2 linked regions of the Canis lupus familiaris genome follow. The protein of the gene in region 1 interacts with the protein of each later gene in a biochemical or structural test. Links are inferred from orthologs where the notes say so. Each region holds a gene or a part of one and is shown on either strand. Other genes may lie near its edges.

What was found.
Region 2: the proteins of NMUR1 (region 1) and NMU form a complex in vitro, tested with the Homo sapiens proteins (2 studies listed by BioGRID). The link is inferred for Canis lupus familiaris from reciprocal best matches to the Homo sapiens genes NMUR1 and NMU.

What each region holds. Positions count from the first base shown.
Region 1 is NC_049246.1:43,581,398-43,584,583, forward strand, and holds part of NMUR1 (neuromedin-U receptor 1), read right to left. Parts: intron 2,822-3,186; coding exon 1,933-2,821; intron 1-1,932. UniProt on the Homo sapiens protein: Receptor for the neuromedin-U and neuromedin-S neuropeptides.
Region 2 is NC_049234.1:48,653,513-48,657,523, forward strand, and holds the start of NMU (neuromedin-U), read right to left. Parts: upstream 2,808-4,011; 5' UTR 2,779-2,807; coding exon 2,688-2,778; intron 1-2,687.

The DNA.
Region 1 (3,186 bases):
ATTCTCACCTTGCCACCCACGCCCACTGTCCATCTGGAAGGTTCTGGAAGTTTGCCCACCCTAGCCTCAGCACGCCCTTCAGGAAGGCTGGTCTCACCACTGTCACTGCCTGGGCAGTGGGCCCCTGCCCTACTCCCAGCCACAGTCAACTGGACCAGGTGTGGGCGCGTGAGCCAAGCTGGCCCAGTCTGGCTCTCCCATCACAAGAGTCTGGAACTAGGTGACTCTTAGCTAAGACGTCACCCAGCTTCCCAGAGCTTCCCTTCAGCTGTAGTGTCAACCAGTCATGCCTGTCATCGGGCTTGCCTTGATTTTTGTTTCTTATCTCTTGTGTTTGCTTCTCCAACTGCCTATCTTCCCCTGCCGTGCCTTCCCCACCACACCCCAGCACGGTTTTCCCTCATCATCTGGGATTTCCATCAGGATGTTGCTTACAACATCCCTAGCCCACATCCCCAGCCCATGGCCCTCTGAAAGTGAAGCTGGGGGGAAGGAGGGAGGGAGGGAGAGAAGGCCAGAGCCCCAGGCCAGCAAGCCAGGCACCATCCCTGAAGGAACCACCCCAGCTTCCCAGGGTGAGGGCCATCCCAGCTGAGCAGACTTGGTACCTGCAGGGCAAAGGAGTAGGAGGCAGAGGCAGAGGGGGCAGGGGGTCTGTAGGGCAGGCTTCACAGGGCAGAGCTGAAAGGCAAGCTTGGAACTCTGGGGTCAGTCCACTTTAGGGAGCTGCACAAGTGGCCTTGGCTTTGGGACACTTACTGGGGCACAAGAAGAATGGGTCTCTTTCTGGGAATAGGGCAGTCCCCAGTGAGCTGGCTATAATCCCATGGCTTTGACCAAGGTCTCACTACCTCTGTCTTGCCCTGGCTCAGTCCATCTACCTGATTCAGGCCTTGCGAGGGTGGGTCAGGTTGAGGAGGAAATCGTGAATTGGCTTTGTGTCATTTAGTCTGGCTTCCTCAGAGCCTCTGATTTTGAAAAAGGGCCGGATCTAGAGAAGAGTAAGACCCAGAGCCTCCACCCAGCTGGCCTGCCCCCATCCACACCTCTGCCCTGACTCTCCTGTGCTCTGCACACTGACCCTCACAAACACACCTCCTGATGAGCCTCTTTTAGACAACAGTCATCCCCGCGGTCCTCGAGGACCCACAGGTACTACATGGAGGAAACCTATCATCTTGCCCTTCCAACACCTTGCTCGCCTTCTCTGGGGAACTCTGCTCCCCCCAGATCCCAGCATGTGAGTCTACGTGTGGGGGCTACAGACCTCGGCATCCTGCCACTCTGGCCTGGGAGCAGGCCATGACCTAAGCCTGTCAATCAGAATTCTTACCTGGGACGTTTCAACAGCCATTAAGAGAAGAGGGCCATTCCTCAAGAAAGAGGAACTCTGTGCCCATGGCTATGCTTCCCAGGCTGCCCTTGGCCTCGGAGCAAAGAGATGTTTAGGAGCAAAGATGAGAGACCTGTAGGGTCCAGCTCCCACGAACAGCTCTGCCCTCCCAGAAGCCAGCCACATGCCCTTGCCCAGTCTGTGAGTTTGATTCCACGAGCCAATGCCAGCTGCATGGGTGAGCCACCCTCTGCCACCATCTGCACAGGCCTCCAAGCTTAGAAGGACCCTGGGCTTAGTTTAATGACTATTGCTCTCTGGACAGTCATAATGATCTTTGAACAGGGGACCCCAAATTTGCATTTTGCCTCAGCCCCCACAAATTATGTGGCCCATACTGCCATTTATCTTTGATACGAGTCTCTCAGAGAGTAATCACACACGTGCGTGCACACACACAGGGCGGGGGGAGGGGGGTAACTCCAGACCTCACACTCAGCCTCCATCGGAAACCCAGACCCTCAGCCCCCAGGTCCCGGAAGCTCTAGCCTCACCCCCCAGGGTCTGGCCCCGCCTCTCTTCCCGGTAGCAGCACTTACACAGCATCTTGGTCACCTGTGTCCGCCCCCGATCCTGCGAGCCCGGAAATCTGCAGCTGTCGCGCGACCCGGCCCTGCCCCTGGCCTCCGGCCTGAGCACCAGTAATCGCTCCCGCCGCAGCCGCAGCCCGATGAGCAGGTACAGCACGCTGATGGTGGCCATGGGCAGGCAGAAGAAGAACAGGGTGGTGATCTGCACGACCAGGTTGTAGAGGGCCCGGGGGTGGACCAGGGTGCACACAGCCGAGTGGGGCACCGGGCCCCGGCAGGGCACTTCCAGCTGCTGGAGGCCGTGCAGGCTGGTGTTAGGCAGAGAACAAAGCACAGCGAGGCCCCAGATGGCTCCGAGGACACGGCGCACGTGCACCCGAGTCATCATGGACCTGGCCTGCAGCGGGTGCACCACAGCCACATAGCGCTCCACGCTCAGGGCCGTGACGTTGAGCACCGAGGCCAGGCACACCGTCTCGAAGAGCAGCGTGCGGAAGTAGCAGCCCCCGGCGCCCAGCAGGAAGGGGTAGTTGCGCCACATCTCATAGAGCTCCAGGGGCAGGCCCACGAGCAGCACCAGCAGGTCCGACACCGCCAGGCTGAAGAGGTAGTAGTTGGTGGGGGTGCGCATGGCCTTGTGGCGCAGGATGACCGCGCAGGTCAGCCCGTTGCCCACGGCGCCCACCACGAAGATCAGCAGGTACGTGATGCAGATGGGCACGAACAGCTCTGTCTGCTGGGGCCCCAGGTACTTGATTCTCAGTTCCTCGTCGGTGAGGTTTAAGTCCTCGGGGTCAGAAAGCCCCAACGCCCGACTGCCATTGCAGGGCACCAGGCTCCCCGCGTCCCGTGGGGACGTGTCTCCGGGGAGGATGGAGCAATTGAAGCAGAGAGGAGCCTGTGGAACAGAACAGAGACGCCCAGAAAAGTCACTCGGAAATCCCTGGGGATCCAGGAGACCGAAGGGGCCAGCGACACTAACATGATTTTTTTTTTTTTTTAAGATTTTATTTATTCATGAAAGAGAGGGAGAGGCAGAGACACAGGCAGAGGGAGAAGCAGGCTCCATGCAGGGAGCCCGACGTGGGACTGATCCCGGGGCCTCCAGGATCATGTCCTGGGCCAAAGGCAGGTGCTAAACCGCTGAGCCACCCAGGGATCCCGAGAAACATGATTTCATGTCCTGCTAAGAAATAAAAGAAACCACGACACCTGGGTGGCTCAGTGGTTGAGCATCCGCCTTTTGCTCAGGGAGTGATCCGG
Region 2 (4,011 bases), on another chromosome or scaffold:
TAAAAGTGGTGCTAATTTTCTTTCCTTGTTGCTAGCACTTAGCTAGTGTAGGGTTCCAAAGTGAGAAATTGTTACTACTGACTGAATTTTAAGACATAGTCAATGAGCAGGAGTCTGAATTTTAAGACATATTCAAAGAGCAAGGGTCTGAGTAGGAAAAAACCCTTCTTAATTTAGTCTTGGGCACTTTGATCACTTACTGTCACAAGCCAAATCAAGGTTTGTTGCAGTTATCCAAAATGTTCCCTCTTTTAGAAAATTTCTTTCTTTATTTTAATGATGCTCTTTGAATCGTAAACTGTTTCCATCCACCAGACTTGTGACTGGCTCTTTATCTTGCTGTTGCATGCTCTGCTAACTCATTTTGCCAAGGATGCTCCACTTTTTGACACTATTTTATTTTCCTACGGCTTTGTGATATTTGTTTTGTTGTTTTTAGATACATCCAGTTACATCCTGCATAATGATTAATCTTCATAGATTATCTCCCAGTTTTGATTATGTATGTCATGCTTCCCTTCCAATGCCATTTTTAGGGACTCAGGACTAGGGAAGATCATACTATGTTCACTCATTCCCCTCTCCCTCACATCTTTAGAGAGATAAAATTATTTTTTTCAATATCAAGAGCAGGTCTAAAGGGGAAAAAGATACAAAATGATAGTCTAGGGGGTTTCTGTGCAGTGGAAAAGGCATCTTGTCTGTTTGCTTGAGAAATACTGGGGATGTTTATGAGATGATTGGTCAGCCAGCAGAAACATTCTTTCTCAACATAAAACCCAAGACTTGTCTTTTGCGATGAATGGATAAAGAAGATGTGGTTTATGTATACAATGGAATATTACTCAGCTATTAGAAATGACAAATACCCACCATTTGCTTCAACGTGGATGGAACTGGAGGGTATTATGCTGAGTGAAGTAAGTCAGTCGGAGAAGGACAAACATTATATGTTCTCATTCATTTGGGGAATATAAATAATAGTGAAAGGGAAAATAAGGGAAGGGGGAAGAAATGTGTGGGAAATATCAGAAAGGGAGACAGAACGTAAAGACTGCTAACTCTGGGAAACGAACTAGGGGTGGTAGAAGGGGAGGAGGGCGGGGGGTGGGAGTGAATGGGTGACGGGCACTGGGTGTTATTCTGTATGTTAGTAAATTGAACACCAATAAAAAAAAAAAAAAAAGACTTGTCTTTTGCCAAAAAAAAAAAAAAGGCCTTCTACAGTTTCTGCTTAATCACCAGCAGCCTGAAAATTCCCCCATTTCTCAAAAAAGCAGTTATCTCCCACCGATCCAAATATCACTGTAATCATATAGCATGTAACATGTATAGCAGGTACATTTGCTTTACAGAGAAAAGGACACTTTTAAAACTATAATCATCTGCTTCTTTAACAAGGTAGATAAAGACTGCCACCCTAATTCTACCAAAAACAAATTAAAAACATTAAAATATTAACACTACCTTGCATAGGTTATGCTGTAGCATTGCTGGCTATGTGATGGAGAAGGTTTAGGTCTAGCTTCGGACTGCTAACATTCCATAGCCAAATGACCTCATTTTGCAAGCAGGAGAGCTCCTCCCCACCTCCTTCTCCAATACCCCCAGGAAAGGGGCCAAAAAACCAAAAATGATAAAAGGACAGCAATAAAAATAAATATATTGGAAAAGAATAGCTTCAGTTTCTCCACCTCTAATTGAAGGCTGGCCTGCAAGCTCTGAAAGGCCCCTGCAGTTACGGTTTCAAGTCCCCAGTGCTCTCAACAGTGATGACATGGTCTGCGCACCTCTGCCTCACCGCCAGGAGGGCAGAGGGAAGCTAAGGGAACCTGCTGTGGAGTTAGAAGATTCAGTCTTGGCAGGATAGTGGCTGGCCCTGGAGGGGACTCTGGATCAGAGGTGGGGGGCAAAGGATGGATCCCTCCAGGTAATCTTTGGGGAATAGGGGAGTGATCTCCCCGCTGGAACATACTGGGCTTCCTTCTACCTCGTCTCCCAAGCTGCAGACATCCCTCCCTGACCTCGATTTTGCTTTTTCCAGTTCTTTTCTCTGAGCCAAGCACTGGAAATCCCTATTTTATCAGATGGCATCTGCCTTCACTGGCTTTCGCTGCGGCACTGATTGAAAGCCCGGCTGGCGCACTTGCCTCTCCAACTCTGTGATACAAAGAAAGTCTCCGTTCTTTTTCCTGACCTGGTGCGTCAGAACCTAGAAAGGCACCGAGCGCACCCCCGTCCCCTTCTAAAGGGCCAGAAGGGGGCCTGTTTCGTCGCTCGGGGTGATCTGAACGCAACAGGAGCTCACTCCCTAAAGGAGAGCGGCGCTCTCCCGAGTTCACCGGCAGCAGCGCCAGGTGATCGGCAGGTGTCAAAGTCCAGTTCGGCTTTAGCCATCAATCCGGCTAGTCATTGCCACGAAAGGGAACGCACTTTAATTTTCGGCATGTTCGTTCGTTCAAGTTTTCCCGGGTCCGCGGGCCACGGACGTCCCGCGCGTGAGGGAGCCCAGCCAGGTGCGCGGGACCTGCGGGGCTGGGGGCCGGTGCGCGGCGCCGCGCGAGGGTCGTCAGAGGCGGGAAGCCGGGGAGCCCCCCCCCCCCCCCCAAGCCGACAGCAGAAAGGGAGGAAGAGAGCGAGGCAGGTGGCCCGGGGAAGGCGCCAGGACGGCGGGCGCGGGCGCTCACCTGGGCAGGTGCCCGCACAGCAGGCGAGCAGCAGCAGCAGCAGCAGCGGCGGCGGCGGGGGCGGCGCGGGCATCTCGGCCGCTGCGGGCATCTCGGGGCTCAGCGCGGCACGCGGGGCCCTGGCAGTGCCTCCGGGTCCCGGACGCGCGGCTCGCGGGGCTCCGCCGCCAAGTTTTAAATCTGGCGGACACGTGGGCTGGGGCGGCGCGGTCCCCACGCGCGTCAGCTCGCCGCCCACGCCCCCGGGCTCCGTCGCGTCACTCGCGACCCGCCGCCCGCCCCCGGCCCCCACCCGCGGCGGGACCCGCCCCCGGCCACTGTCGTGACTCAGGGCGCCTCTCGCTCCGGCCGCCCCGGGGCTCGGGGATGAGCCTGGAAACGACCCAGTGCACGTCCGTTCCCTGCTCGGAGAGGGTCTGGGCGGGGGCTGGAGAAGGAGCGCGAGCCCGGAGGCCCGAAGGGGCCGGGATCGGGGTTCTTACGCGGGGTGGGGGGGGGTCCTGGGACGCCCCTGGCGCACCTCTCGGGAAGGCCTCCTCTGCCGCACCCACTGTGCGCACCTCCACCTCCGCAGAAGCACCTCTGTCCCGCTCTTTCCTTCGTCCCCAGCTCCCAGCTCAAGCCCGGTGCGTACCGGAGTACCAGTGGTGACCCTGGTGTTCCCCCAATTCCTGCAAGATCTGAGATCATTTAGGGAAATGCAGTTATCTGTTGAAGAAGCTCGAGGAGAAAGGATTGCTGGGATTTGACCACACATACATTTCCAATAGGTCTGGAAGGTCTCTGGCTATCCTATGTGTTCCCAAGGTTGCTCGTTTTTCCATGCGTTTCTCCCGCGGTCCCTCCCCCTAGCTGTTGCTTTCTGATTTCTAGGGTGATGGGAACTCTGCCATCCCCCTCCATACTTTCCTTTACTTCCTAAGTGGAAATGTCCAGGAAGCAGCCTCTCTAGGACACTGGCTGATACTGTTTTAATTTCCTTCTACTGAAAGAGGGAAGACTGAGCTCATTTGACCTCCTTACGAAAGCAACACAGAGGAAAGGGTAGAAAGGAAGTACATTAACATTTCCTAAGGGACATCTTCCCCTGCTATTTAATTTAACACTCATGTCATCTCTGGAAGGTAAAACTATTATGACGCTTATTTGATGATACTGATGATACTTGGAGATTAAATTGTCTGCCCAAGGATATCAGCCTGTGGGAGAGACCCCTCTGCGAAGACCTTTCTTCTCTAAGCTGGGGATTTTAATGCACTAGAAATGCACTGTGCAAAGCACTATAGGCAAAGTGGGGCCTTAAAGACTAGAATCTTTAGTAACA